Lonchura striata: one gene and its partner. The protein of the gene in region 2 binds, or shares a complex with, the protein of the main gene of each other region. Links are inferred from orthologs where the notes say so. Each region holds a gene or a part of one and is shown on either strand. Other genes may lie near its edges.

Region 1 (7,168 bases), on a different chromosome or scaffold from region 2:
CATTTTAAATGGCCCAGGATAATTTGAAAGCAAGAAGGTGAATTCAGGATACATTAAAATTCACTGAAGGTACACTCAGGAAGATTTATGAGGTCAGGGATCCATTCCCAAGGAAATCAGGGGAGTGGCCTCCAAACCCAAGGACAAATGGTAAAAATAATTTGCCTGCAAAGTTTGAACAAAATCAACCACACATTTTTTCCCCCTCCTACTCCACTTTCCTTAATGTGACAAATGTACACACACAATTTTTCTGCTCCTGTCACAGCACTGTCAGTGTGCCTTAGCACCAGGATCCCTTCATTCTGGGAGTATCAAGATACAGAAAGCAGATTGTTCAGAGTGTTTGAGAAGACATGACACCTGGTACGAGAGAGGAGCCAGGAATATCAAATACACTGGTATTGGAGTGAAAGTCTATTAATGCATAAACAACAAATGTTTAATTATGGCAATTTTCAATCCCAAGTACAGAGAGCTGAGAATTTACAGGGTCCAAACAATCCTAAGTGCAGCTGTAATCTCTTGGCACTCTGTGGAATAGGAACTTGAAACATTGGAAGAGACTCCTTACCTTGCAAAGGCTGGCTGAAGAAACAGGCATGGAAAGAAATTTTTATCATGTTTTTTACCATTGGCAGGTGTGCTCACACTAGGAAACATTCCTAGTTTGGATAAATTTCCTAAGAATTCATGTCACAGCTTTCAGAAAAATAATTTATAAAGGGAAAAATATTTTTACTTGCATACAAAGTACACCACAGCTTCTAGTAAATGCAGCGAAGAGCTGAATTTGGAGATTATACAGGAGAGGTGGGAGAAGGGGGTTTGTCTGTGCCACTGGAAATGCCATTCACAAAGTCCCCAGATACATGTTGTGTCACTGAACACACTGATAAACTTTTAGTCTAAGCACAGCACAAACAAATGACTGTTGTCCTGCTTAGTTCATAAATAATTCTGCTATGTACTTTTTATCAAGTACTTAAAGAATACAAAGCAGTGTGTGGGCAAAAACACCCCATCCTGAGGAAGAGGCAAATGGGATACTTGACATAAATCAAATAAAAGGGGACCATGGCGGGGATGGACATTAAACAGCTTCACAAAATAAAGGCTTTAAAGGAAGAGAATAGTTGGAAAGTCCAAAAGTCAACAAAAGGAGTTGTCAAGTTGAGAAGGGCTCAGCTGGGTGGGGTGTGAAGTCAGAGGGGTGGGAGAGCAGAATGAAGAGCTGGAGGAATAAAGATGGAGTTAAATTCCTAAATTCCTCTTGTTTGTGAGTGATGCTGGAGCTGCTCAGAGATGGCAACACCTCCCTGCAAGGGCTGCAGCTCCAAGCCCCATTTTGCAGTCAGTTTTCAGCACAGAGATTTTAGGAGTGGCTCGAGAACAGGCTGCGCCTCTGAGGAGAGGTGGGGAATAACCAAAATAGCCCTGGAGTTGTGTTGGATGATGAAGGACTGCTGAACAACCAGTGATGTAAGGAAGCAGTTTGGCAAGGAAAAAGAGGACAGATTTCCTTAAGTACAGAGGGACTCCACTTTCAAAAGCACAGAGATGTGACTGTATCCCAGCCAAAAAGTCTATTTAAAATGAGATTTTAATCAGCCTGCCCAAGTAAATAACTGTAGGCACCATAGCAGAAGTACCTTGCTACAGTGCTGAGGCAGCGTCTGCCTCATTTTTAATCACAATTAACTGTGTGCTGAGATGAAAATTAAGCTGGGCTCTCAGCAGCTTCCAGTGCACTATCATTTCCTGTGATCTATGACAGAAAGAGGAAAATAGTGCAGCAGCCTGAAAAGTGTCAGATCTAAGCAGTGTAGCTTCCCTAACCTGATACAAAATGTTGTCTTTGGTTGTAACTATTTTCTACTCCCATTATCTCCCTAATTGTCACTTACAGGCCACCAGAGAAGTGGCTTATTTGAAGTGGCCAGCAAGACAAAAACCCTGCATTGATTTATAGTATCAAGAATTACTTTGAAAGGGATCTGAGGATTTGGTATCTGACCTCCAGTGTGCTGGGGGTAAGAAAAGGGAATTTATCTGTGATGGTGAATGGCATTCTGCCATTGCTACACATTATCACAGACTCACCTTCTGCTTATCTTAGAACAGGAAAAATCACACATATTTGTATATCTCAGTAACAGTTTCTACAACATGGCTAAAGAGAGAATCCTATAAATCAGAAGAAAGACTCAGCTGTGATGTTGTGGCACAAAGGTCTCCCCTTCCCTGGGGGCAAGGAGGGGAAGTGACTCCCAAGAGCCTCAGAACAGACCATGGCCCTTCCCAGCACCCACCACCTAATTCCTACTGGCCATAAAAATTAAATCCCCTCTTCGAGGGGAAAGCTGATAAAACTTCATTTTGACTTTTCATAAATAATCATAAATATGATTATTTATGAGTCATATCAACAGAAAGTTACACTCGGTAGGAAGAGCTGCATCTTCCTGTAAGGTTTTTAAACTTTTGAGGGGCATTCATTGGCTTCAGGTGCTACCAAGAATGCTCTTCTTGGTGAGAAATTTTCACCTTCCTATGAAGGTTCTTCCTAATAGAAATTTTTAATAAACTCTGAAAAGCAATATTTTTTTCCCTGAAGAAAAGTGATTTGAAATTATTTACCCGCCTATTTCTGAATTAAATAAAAATAAGAGTTTTTCTGAGTTGAAATAACTTATTCTATACCTTATAGTTGACTTTCAGTGGTCACTACAGTAGCTGAAATTTTTGGTGGAAGATGATGAAGGTATTAAAGTTCTGATATTATGTTTTGGATCCCCTTGGCACAGGAATTAGGAAGTGCAACAGTGTCCAGGCTGACAAACACAAATTAAATCAGGCCTGTCCTTCTTCACTCCTGAATACCCAAGGAAATAGCACAGCTCAGGAGAGCCATTCACAGACTAGAAAAACAGAAACAAGCACAACAGAAACACATTTTCTCTGTGAAGGATGGCTTCCACCTCTGTCTCTGGCAGATTTCCCTCTCTCCAAAGCATCACCCCAAACACCCCTGGAGCACTCACCCCGCTCACAGCACCTCCATGTCGGCGTGGACGGATCTGGGCGGCGAAAACCAAAGCAAAGCCCCGCTGACAACATCCAAAACTCATCTGCCAAAGGACCAAAACCACACTCAGGCTCCAGACTATCCCAAAAACACAAAAGTACCCTGCTCCAGGCATCTGGTGTGCTCAGCTGGGGAGCAGAGCCAGGGGAGCGCCGAGGAACCGCGGCCGCACGGAGTTTGCTCCATCTGAAATTAGGGAGCAGGGAGAAACTGGCCAGGCAACAACTCTTGACTTCAGAGCTGCTAAAGTGGGATGACACACAGGCAGTAATTACACACTGGAGTGTTACCAAAGCTGAGTTGCTCACAGGTGACTTCACGGCAGCAGTGGAGTATCTCAGGTGATTGCTGCTCTGCAGTTTACACGCTCTTTGCAAAGGGAAATGGTCATGCAGCTGCATTTGGGTTGTAAATGACACCTTTATGTCATGCTCAGTTTGTTACATAGCAAGGACCGACTCAGAATGCAGAAAGCAAAAACAAGGAAGTGATCCTAAGTGCTCCAGCAAGCAGAAATTTTTGCTGTTACTTCAAAAATTCACAAACTACATTAGAAAATCTTATAATTGCACAGTGCTGTCAGGGAAAACATGGGGGGTATGTTTACATTTTTCTCTACCTGTAAAAGTTTTTAATGAATATGTCCCCACAGGGGCTGTGGGAACATAACCAGTTGGGCTTCACATCCCTGTGACAGGCAATGACTTTTCTCAGCTTTTCTATTTTGGAGCTGTTGAGCAATGGTGAATGCAGAATTCTGGTCTGGCACATACCAAAAGAGTGACCATAAGTTCCTCTGCTCTTTTTATAGAGTCTTTGCATTATCACCAGAAATAGGATGTGAAAAACTCCTATGTCTTTGTAGTCAGACCTGCAAGGTGTATTTACAGCTGCTGGTCTTGAGTTAATTATTAGATAGGCAGCAAAACAGGAATCTTTTTTCAGCTGTAGACAAGGGCAAAAAAAAGTCAAGTTTGGGTGGTGTTTTTTGGTAGGACATAGGGCAAATTTTGGAAGTAAAACCAAAATATCTTTGGCTACTACAACACAGACATTTTAATCCAAAGACTATGGCATTAAAGTACATCTACAAACTTAAGGTAAGCTCCTCCTGTTCATAAATTATTTTTAAAAACAGGTCTGCTGGGTGTTACATTTGCCTCAGACCTTGTGTGAAATGCCAGGAGCACTGCACAGCTCCTGCTAATGAATCAGCTCCCAGCAGCTGCATGGGGAAAGGGGCTCTGCCTGGGCTGGTTGTGTTTGGCACTGGGGATCCCTTTGGTTGGAGGTGCTGAGCACACAACCAACTCTGCCTGACAAATTCCTGCTCTGTTCCAAACCCCGTGCCAGGAGATGTTGTTCACATCTTGCCAAATGCCTGAACAGAGCTCTGACAACCCAGAGGCAGCTGCTTTGATGGTCTTTTAGTGTAAGAACCTGGAATAAAGATTGGGTCCTGCCATTCCCTCCTGCCTGGGACAGCACCAGCTTGGTTCTCAACACAAACTGCAAGGAACTGTTTAATTGAAGTCACTCTGAGGATGGAAATGGGAAAAGGCATATGAAATCTGGGTGAAGGTGCATTTGAGGACTCTTGCTTTACCTCTGATCAACCACAGTAACAGAAATCCTTTTGCTAAGGAGGGAAAATGAATTTGGCAGCAAGCAGGACTTTGAATTTGGAAAGCAGCTATATCTGAAAGCAGCCAGATCTGTGGGGTTTAGCAGAACACGGCACCTAGCAGCAAGGTCTATTTATAATGTTGTGGCAGTTATCCAGAGAGGAAAAACCAGGACAAGCAGCAGCAAGAGAGGCAGAGCCCTGCTGCCCACAGAGAGGTGCAGGGACTGCAGGAGCTGAGAGCAGCTCACAGCAGCTCCACTCCACCCTGCCTGCTCTGTGAGCTGCTCCTTGCCCTGCCAGGGCAGCCTTGACCCCCTGAACCCCAGTGTGGCCTTTCCTCTCAGATCTGGGGAGCAGGAGCCCTGCCTGGTTCTGGCTGATGTCCCTGAAAACAGAATTTTGGGGTGCTGTGAGCCTGAGCTGGGCTGCTTGTGAGGACAGACTTGAGGGGCAGGAAGTGAGAGGCAGAGCTACAGCCAGTCACATCTGTGCGAACATTTTCTTCCAGTTTTAATCATCAACCTGCTCAGCCTTTTTGTCCCCTGCTCCACCCCGCTGTTTCTGACAAGGGCAGCAATTTCAGGAGCCATGGAGGGTTTTCCAAGAGGCTCTGTCCATGACCATTTTATAGAGTTTTACAGCAGTCACCAGCTGCTGCTCCAGCTACTGAAGAGATGCCATAAGGGTTGAGAACATTAATAACATGCATTTCCTATTAAAAATTACTTGAAAATTTCAGCTTTGGACAGTCTGCACAGCACAAATAAGTAGCAGAAGCCCTACGTGGCATTATTTTGTTTTCCTAGCAAGTGTTAGACTCAGTAGAAACCAAAATGAACAAGATGAAGGAAACCCCAGATGGGGAAGAATGAGCATTTGGAGATTTTCCATCTGACATCAGCAAGTCAGAGCAGCGTTTGCTCTTCTGCTGATACAGGACACCGTCCCAGGCAAACTCACATTAGAAGCTATTCAGATTTTATATTTAATTCTCTGATTTTTAGTACCCCAGCAGATTCACTTATGGGAAAAGCCACTATCTAAATACATTTTTGACCTTGAGTAACATCAAGAATAATTGTAATTTACTTATTGTCATCATTCCATCCCCCAAGCTCCTTAAAAATAATCCAAAATATGAGAATTAAAAGCATACCAGTAGCATCCCACTTCCCCTGAGCATAGTGTTTAACTGGTTCACAGGAGTCTCCCATGATTTTTCACTGTGCTCTCCTCACCCCTCCCCTCAGAGTTAAACTTGTCCTGGGATCACCTCTGTGCGCTGCTCTACTAAGAGCTTTTCACACCTCTCCAAACAACTGATAAGCGCTTGCAAATATTTACACATTAGGCTCGTAAATTGCAAGATAAGAGGCTGCTTTATGCAGCTGAGCAACAGGAACATGAATTAGCCTGCAAGTGTGTGACTGTCACCTACCAAGAGACAGCCTTGTGGGAAGTCATTCCAGGAAAATACTGGGATATATCACTTACCAGTTGGTGCAGTCTGGGCTGCAGGGACAAGTCGGCCTCTTTAGCAATTCTATGATGCATTTTTGCACTGGAGAGCTGATTCCTAAAGATCCCTGCCAGAGAACAGTCTCATGCATGAGGGGATGAGAAGGGTTGCTGGAACCTCCATCACAAATATATTCCCTGCAACTGTGGCACTGTGCAGTTTATTCTTTCTGCTTGGGCAAAAGAATTGTTATCCTAATTATTTTCTGTTCTTCCAAGCTACACATGCTGGACCTGATTCCAGCAGCTGCCCTGAGAGTCCTGCTCAGCACAGGAAGGAACTCCAGTCATGGCCCTCCTCAGTCTGTCCCTGCTGTTTTCTTCCTTTCTGCAGCAGGGAAAAACATTTTTATTCTGCATTTGAGCCGTGCCCTGCTGCATCACAGCCAGGGCTCATATGAAGAGAGCAGAAGAGCAAAGAAAAGCCTGACCCTATATCTCAGTTTCTACCCACTCCCTCCAGCCAAAAACCCAAAGCTGCCTCCCTTCCCCCCTTATTATACCCTCTCCCCAGCTGACAGACTGCTCACTTCCACCTGCATCTCCCTAATTCCCACATCTGTGGCCAATTCCCTATGCAGGCATGGGCTCAGTAATTATTAAGTTGAAATAAGTGCAGTAAAAACCCACTTTATGTTAGTGGCATCAATATTTGACTTCAGGCCACAGTTATCCCTCTTGGCAAAGTGTCAGGGCTACCTAAGCATGAGATCATGATAAGCAGTGGCAAGAATGGATTTGTTACCTTTTTTCCAGTGTGTTTTCCTGCATTTGTGCTGTTCTCTGGCACTCCTGAGGCAAAACCTAACAGCCCAAACTTACAGATTCCTTTGACAGCCCTCTGTGTACAGATGTGCATGTCCAGATGTGCAGGGCGGTGGCTCTTGTCCCTGTCCTGTGAGCATGTCCTGCTGCTGGTGCTGTGTGTCACAGGC
Region 2 (8,100 bases):
AACAGGATTTCCTGCCAGCTCATGAAAGCTATGCCCAAAAAGCATGACTGAGAAAACACACACACACAAAAAAAAAAAAAAAAAAAAAAAAAAAAAAGAGGAAAGAAAAATAACTTCTGAGTTTGCCCTGAAATTTCTGAATCAAAGTCAACAATCTTCTCTAGTAAAAAGATTTATATAGAATTAAAACAAAAATGCATACTATAAAGTTAAATATGGAAATCTCAGATTCAAAAGATACAAGCCAAGTGGGATACAGAACATTAAACAGGATTCTAGAATAGCCTTACAGTGAAGTGTGTGATGGCCACTCCTGAATTTTTAAAATTAAGAACTACACACAATGTAAACTAAAGTATCAATATCCAGGAAGGCTTTCTGACAAGTACCATGTAAAATATAAGGAAAACGTGTGAAGGTAAATAAGGTTAATTAATATCTTAAAAGTGGATATTTTTAATGATGTCTTTAAAGACCTCAAGTCTTACCTTCCCCTTTCTTTTCGAGTTTCTAACAGAAAAGCAACATTTTTTTTTTTCTCAGATCTTGTTAAAACTCGATTCTTTAGCCATGTAAAAGAGGGAAAATTTGACTGTAAGTGAAAGTCTAGAGCACCATGTCCTTTAATTCAGTGATGGGGACCTTCATTCGATTACCTCATAGCTATGGGACAAGACACGGCAAAAGCCAAATGATAAAATATTAAATTATATTTTCTTCCTCCTCAGGCAAAGAGTGAGTATAGCATTAGATTAGTTTGAAAGACTAAAAAGGAAGAAGAGGAGTCTGCAATATGCATCACAAGTGACTAATACAATTTTTAAGCCCCGTTTATTCATATAATCAGGCATAAGCACTTATGCTAACTGTGGAAACCTCGAATGTAATACATAGCCCAAATGAATTCCAGATTAGTGCATGCTTCAGTGTTTCATGTTCTCCCTTGCACATGCCTAGTGAAAGCCTGCCACTCTGCAACAGAGGAAGGAATTACTACAACAAAACCATAGGCAGACTTTGCCAGAAACTATACTTTTTTTTGAAATGAGGCAGAATAAGCTGAGTGTTTTAAGTAATGGATAGGTTTGCATCCCACTGTCTAGCAGCAGTTATTCCAATTGTGTTTCACAGCTTCATCAGAGAGGCAGAAATATGAACAAACTATAGGAGCATTCTCCATAATCTGCACTGAAACAAATGACACTCCCTTCAGTCAGAACATCTTCCACCATTATGGGAAAGGATTCATTTATCTTTCAGCTATAAACCTGAGTTAGCTACATGTTCACCATACTGACATCCCAACATTTTTTAATCTTATGATGTCAATCTTGCATCTACGTAAAAATGTGTATTTCAGTGTGTAAAAAGATCTCTTGCTGCTGACAACTCAAAGTGCATTAACTTGGGAAGCCTTGAGATTTCCACACACACCCACACACTCCTTTCAGTACAGATCTCACTGATTAGAAAACAAAATATCCACAACTTAATAGACCTTTCACACACAGTGGCATTTCTGCAGAAGCATACGTTTCCAACACTTCAACTTTTACTTTCATCACTATTAGCAAGTTATTTTCCCAAGTTATTTCCTACACACACACCATGCCCAGTGCCCCTGCTGAAACTACCACATTCACTGAAACTGAATGAGCTCCTAGTGAAACATCAGAGCTTAGCTGTAAATATGTGTAAATACTTTTATTCTGTGCTGCTTTCCTGTTAGAATACAACATGCATCAAGGTCACTGTAACAGATTGCAGTTTTCAGGCTCATAGAGAAGACACTGAGGAAATCAGTAAGAGCAAACTTAAATAAGCAGTGTTTAAAGTTCTGCCTTCTCCCAAACCTGCCCAGAATTCACATCTCTGTTTCCTGCATTTCAGTCAGGTCTATTCACAGGTTCGGGAACGCTATCACTGCTGAAAGGTGAATAGAACTCGTTCTTTGCAGTGTGACCGGTCTGTTCTGAGCTCTCCGAGTTTTTAGCTACAGATTACAGCCCCATGGGCCTCTCCCTTTGAAGTGGAGTTCCTCTGAATTAGTCCCCTGCCTGCAACCTGTCCTCCATACACTGAAATAAATTACAGTCAACTTTTCCCTTCATTGCCATGTCAAGTGTAGCAATAAATATCCACAGGCTAAAAGCAAACAAACAAGACTGGACGAACCATAACCTCACAGCAAGAGCATCTCAAGGAAGAACACCAGGCAGGGCACAAGAAAGTTAAGGGCATAAAAATCAAAACTCACTATCTGAATCCATAAGTGCGTATGTAAGGCTAACATGCTTCTTGCCTCTCTCCCACAAGAAGCACGGGTGAAAAGCAATTAAGGGGCTCCTACAATTTAGTTAGAGTTCAGCAAAGAGGAGAAAGCATTTTACATTATGAAATGCCTGGGAAAAGGCATCATCTCTTTCAGTTGCAGAAGTGGGAAGCGTTGGGACACGGAGCTTCTTTCCCGGCTATGCACCGGAGCACCGCACCAGCGGTCCGCCCGCGGCGGACTCCGGCGGAGTTGGAGCGGGGCTCCCCTGCAATCCCGGCCACCAATCCCCCCCGCACCTCAACCCCCGAGAACTGATGCTGGCGCCGCCGACCATCCGGCCTCGAAACTGGCAGCAACCGATCAGCAGCTGCAAAAAAAAAGTCACTCGAGACGAAGGAAACGCAGCGAAAAGGAAGCAAGAGCTTACTTGCCTATACAGCACCGCCGGACGACCTCCTCGCAGCTGAGAAACGCTGTGCCGCTCGTCCTCCTCCCACCGCTCCGTGCTAGTTCCAAAATAATTCCTCCGGGCGCCGGCACATCCCCGGGCTCAGCCGAGGAGCGCAGGGAGCCCGGCCGCCTCTCCCCCCCGCCCGGTGCCCATGGTGTCAGCCACAGCTCCGGCAACTCGCGCTCCTGCCCGCCGGCGCTACCTCGGGGCGGGCCGCCGGCTAACAGGGCATCGCAGCCCGGCCGCCGCCGCACCGGCTCGAACTCCGCCGCGCTGGGGGGGAGCGAGGGGCTCCCCGCGCCCTTCCCGGAGACGGAGCGGGGGCGCCGGGCGGGGGCGTGCGGGGAGCAGCGCCGCCCCTCGCGGCGGCGAGCGGCCAGGCGAGGCGCGGCCAGGCGAGGGGAGGCGAGGCGGCGCGGCGCCGCCACCGCGGCCGCAGCCAGGCGCGGCGATGCCGGCCCCGCCCGGGACCCCCGCCCGCCCCCCCGCCGCTCCCGGGGCGCTCCGTAACGCCGCCCCGCTGCCGGCGCCAGCAGATCCGGTGACGCGCAGCCCTCCCCCGGGCCGGCCCCCGTGCCGGAGAGGGGCGAGCGGGCGGCGAAGCGGGAGCCGCTTCCCACGGGCAGCGGGAGGGTGAGCTGGACCACCGGCGCGCAGGGACAGAGCGGTCCCGGGCGCGGCGGCGGAGCTGCCGAGCGCCCGGGGGAGGCGGTGTCTCCTGGGCTGCGGGAGAGCCCGCTCGCCCGGAGCCCGCGGAGCTCTCCCCGGTCCTAGGGAGCTGCGGCTGGCCGCTCACCCCGTGCCCGGCAGGAAAGTTATCGGCTCCCCCTCTTTCCTCACTCAACCTCCTCTTTAGTTCAGCTGCCTTGGCTGCCCTTTCTGCCAGCTGTGTGACAGGGTTTCGGCTGGCCGCTCGCCAGAGGGACTGTACATCGATCCCCCATGTAGGGAAGAAATTTGGTGCCGGTTCTATTACTTTGCCTGGCTGGCTTGGCGCGGCACCGGCGCTGCCTTCTCCGCGCCCCGTCTCCCAGCCTCTAACCCAGAGCACGGCTCTGCGGCGACCACCGCCACCGGCGCACAGCCAGCGCCGCTCTTCCGGGCTGCCTCGGACAAGGAGGGGGCCCAAAGGGTGCAAAAGGGGTGAGGGACAAGCTGCCCTGTGCCTCGCGAAAGCCCTGCGTGATCCTCGCTCTCCCGTTCCGCACGCTCGTGCTTCCAGCAGCGCGCACGGTGCCCGGCCGGAGATCCCCCGCAGGCATGGATGGCCCTCGCCGTCGGACAGCGCTGCAATGACACGCTCTAACGCAGCTATCAGTCACTTACACAGGCACACCCATATATATAAAACATAGATATGTATGTACATGCATGAACACACCCCCATACGCATAGGCGGCCGCCGCGGGGAAACCGCATCTCCCCGCGGATGGGGCCGCCAGAAGTCGACCTGCCACGGTGAAGGCAGGAGGAGAATGAAGGCGGCGGGGAAAAGCAGCAGGAGAGAGCCCGAGGGGAGCCGCCACCGGAGCCGCCTCTCGGCGCCGCGCTGGCCGCGGGCTCCCGCGGCGATGCCGGCAGCCGGGCTCGCCGCCCGCCGGCGCTGCGGAGAGCTGCGGGCAGGGAATCCCGCGGAGCCTCTGCGCCTCCTTGGTGTCGGGGAGAGCCCGGCCCTCGTGGGGCTTTTGCCAAACTGAGAGTGAGTGGAGCAGCAGTGGTCTCACCCGCATGCTCTGGGGCCCCTTCTAGCTCTTGGGAATGTTTCTCTCTAGTTAGGCTGAGGATGTCTGGGAGGGTGTCACAATTAAAAGTTCGCTAGAAAGGAGATTGAGCTTTGCTGTTCCGTAGCTTCTCCGATAGTCCTTTTCCCTTCAACTTCTGTAGGCTTCTTCTAATGAAAAGTGGTTTTCACGGGCATCTCACAGTTAAGGGCTTTTCTTCAACCAAGTTGGCAGAAACAAAAATGTTTCTGTTCCTTATGCACTCCTTTTATAAATATTACCTTCAATAATGTGCAGTGAGCTATTGAGGGGGGAAAAGATTTAAACAGACAGCTTAATGCAAGCTAAATGCAAAGCTAAGAGAGTTGCTCCGAAGAATAAAGCTAAATGTTGGGTTGATAAGTGCCTTAGAAAATGCATTGATAAGTTTCATGCCTAATTGAACAGATCTGTACTTCATGTACTTGTCATCTTGAGATACAGATCTTTATCTTTCCTTGTTTACTAGTATTGAATTGATACCAACAGTTCTTGATAGCTACAAACTAACCAAGCTATTTGTCCTACTGAAAGATTGAATAGTTTGAACTGATAGTTCTTCTGACAAGACTGAAAAAATAAATTATTAAAATGGTACATATATGAGGACTGGGATGATTGAAAATCATGTCTGAGAATTTAAATAAATGAAATGTAATGAACTAAAAACTTATCAAAGACAGAAGTGAAGTGGAATTCATGCCCTGCTGGGAAAGTCAACACCCAAGAAAGAAATTTATAAACAAAGTAGAAACAAAAAATATTTTATTACCTTTTAGTTGCTTTGTCTAGAGTCAGTCCCATACTCAAATTTCAACAGGGACAACGTCCTCAGTTTTCGCTATCAGAGTCACCTATTGATTATAGAATCAATACATATCCTGTTCCCCCATCTGTAGGAAGAGCTGTCATTTTTCATGGAGACCTCCCACTTCATTCTTTGTGTGATAATGTAAAGTGGATAGCTCAAGCAAGAAAGGAAATTTCATTTCACAAGAGGAAGCTGTTCTATTTTAGTGCAGTATCTTTCAAACTATTTTAAAATATATTAATATTTATTAAAAACATATTGATATTTATTAAAATACATATAGGTTGCAAGTTTCATTACCACTAAGAATATGCTGAAGATGAAGTCTACCAAACCAGGTGAAAAAAGTGTGCAGTATTTTTTATCATTATCAACCACATTGTGTGAAATAAATGTGCATTCCAGTTTTACACACAATTACATTCATGTTACATTCATGTTGTATTTTTGCTTCAGGCAGAACAAACACAAAATAAGATTTTTACGTATACAGAAATCAGATGTCAGGTAAATTTAAGATGTAGTCAACAACATGAAGCAACATTTATAGTCAGAGAGGTGAGCCAGAATTGTTTTTATGTAGTATGGAATATGTTAATTAAGAAATTTCACGTAATAAGATGATGGTAGATTGGCATCTGTTTTAGATTCTTCAGCTTCAGCAGCCTGGCACCACTCAAGTCACCAACAAGGATGGAGTGACAAAGGATGAGAAGCATTAAAAATGGAAGAAATGGAGGCTAAGCATGAAGAAAAATTGTCATTACTTAAAAAATATGAGAATGAAAGGAAGAATTTTACCCACCAAGCAAGCGAGTGACACTCTTGGTAAAACTGTATTGACTACCTATCTGCAAAAGATCATTTTTCTTCTTTTCTGTTTCATAAATGACTACAGCATCCATTTTTTTTTTCTGAATGTATAGCTCACTTTGAGTGTGGGCAGGGCTTCTGGCATTTGGCAGCCAAACCCTTATGCATGTGTCTGTCACACATAAGCCTCCCTCTGAAAATGCTGGGAAATAAAGGGCAGAGAACTCAGCTTTGAAAAAGTGCATGGGAAAAGAAACTACCAGTTGTAGTGGCCAAGTAACATGAATGTATGAGAAAGATGTTTAAATGCTTTGGGAAATAGAGAGTGGTTTTTGTCCAACATCACTGCAGCATTAGATTTTCCATTCCCGTAGCGTGTCCTACCACCTCTGGGAACACATCATGGCTGATAGGTTATTAATTGGTTCTGTGAGAATAGAATTAATCTATTTTCAATATCCACTTTTGGAAAAGAGAGCAGTCAGAGTAACAAATGTAACACCATCAAGGACAGGTGTCACACTTTATAGAAAGTGGATCACAAGGTCATCGATAAGCTCCTTGGTATTTTGTGTATCAAGGTGCACATGAAGAGCACATTCCCAATTCCTGATGATATAATTTTGGTTTTAACTTCCATTCACAGACTGATAATAATCCACACAACTATGTCAAAAAATATGTGAGTATATTCCCTCTTTTTTCCCCATTTAGTCTAAACTAAGCTTCACAAAAATACTCCATTTACGAGTATCAGGCACCCTTATATAAAATAATGTGTCATTTGTCACCATGGCTTGTAATCTGAAAATATGACTGGGGAACTGATGGAGACCAAAATAGTCTTCTACAGTCTGTAGGTGGCCAAAATATTCTGCAGCTATATTCCATAAAATTCCTTGCTGCCGTGACTTCTTTCTCAAGAACTCTTGTCAGTCCACTTAAAACTCTCACTCACATGGGCCCAAAGAGAGACATGGGGGTTTGTTCAAATTGTAACTAAATATAGTTATACATTAAAATTCCTCTTTTCTCATGTAAACAGGATAGTAGCAATTCCATAAATTCTGCGCAAATTTTTACTTTGAAATTCTGGGCTTTTAAAATCATCTAAAGGCTTGAAAAATTTAAAACCATACAGCTTGAAACCTAACAGCAGAGAATCTCAAGCGACACTGGGAAATTCATAGTCTTAATATCATTCCTTAATCCTAAATTATACATGCAGCCTGTATATCATAATCAGTACTGTTATTATTTATGGTAGTCTATAAATGGCTTGCATCTCATTAATGGGTATTTTTAACAGAGAAGATAATTTGGATAAAATTTTAACAAAGGATTGTAACTACTCTCAAGGAAATTATTAGCATTATTTGCCTTAGTAATTAATTTATTAAAATAAACTATTACAAATCAAAAGAGACAAGTAAAACATCATGGGCTATAAACAGTATGACCTAAGAAAATTATTGATTATATTTTTCTGTTTCATTCTCAACAAAAAACAATTATATTTGCTTTCTCACAATTATCCTATTTCTTCAACAAAAGGAGATAGAATTCCCCTATGTGCATTTAAAAATTAATTGTACACATTGCAAAGTTTGAAAATGTTTGGGTTTTTTTTTTACATTTGGAAGAAAAATAACTCATAAAAATATAATTTGAAAATAACTAATGTACATTCTGTAGGATTTATGAGTCTTCATAAGAAAACAAAAAAAACATAAAACATTATTAAGGATGGGAAATAATTTATTTCTTCACAATTTTTGAAGTGATAGTTAAAAGATTAGACAGTGTAATTCAAATCTGGGATGTGATCTGCAGATAATTTAATTGTTTAAAGCATTTTGAAATATATGTGGGTGCATCTATATTTTATAAAAATGATTGGTATGTTGCTGGCATTAAAGTCAACTGTATATACTTGAGGCAATGCTTGTGGATGGAAGTCTCAGCTCTAGAGTTGAAGCCACTTTGTGCA

Evidence for each region. The genes of interacting proteins can lie anywhere in the genome.
Region 1: the proteins of SNTG1 (region 2) and TRPV3 are in contact, whole or in part, in a crystal structure (PDB 7QQN), measured with the Homo sapiens proteins. The link is inferred for Lonchura striata from reciprocal best matches to the Homo sapiens genes SNTG1 and TRPV3. Residues at the interface, in NP_001274742.1 of Homo sapiens: Arg62, Gly66, Gly67, Phe68, Gly69, Leu70, Ser71, Ile72, Lys73, Gly74, His78, Ser85, Lys86, His118, Glu119, Val122, Arg126; in NP_659505.1 of Homo sapiens: Pro786, Glu787, Thr788, Ser789, Val790.

Annotation. Positions count from the first base shown.
Region 1 is NC_134622.1:8,440,603-8,447,770, reverse strand, and holds the start of TRPV3 (transient receptor potential cation channel subfamily V member 3), read right to left. Parts: upstream 3,095-7,168; 5' UTR 3,045-3,094; intron 1-3,044. UniProt on the Homo sapiens protein: Non-selective calcium permeant cation channel. It is activated by innocuous (warm) temperatures and shows an increased response at noxious temperatures greater than 39 degrees Celsius. Activation exhibits an outward rectification.
Region 2 is NC_134603.1:41,399,878-41,407,977, forward strand, and holds the start of SNTG1 (gamma-1-syntrophin), read right to left. Parts: upstream 3,011-8,100; 5' UTR 2,703-3,010; intron 1-2,702. UniProt on the Homo sapiens protein: Adapter protein that binds to and probably organizes the subcellular localization of a variety of proteins. May link various receptors to the actin cytoskeleton and the dystrophin glycoprotein complex.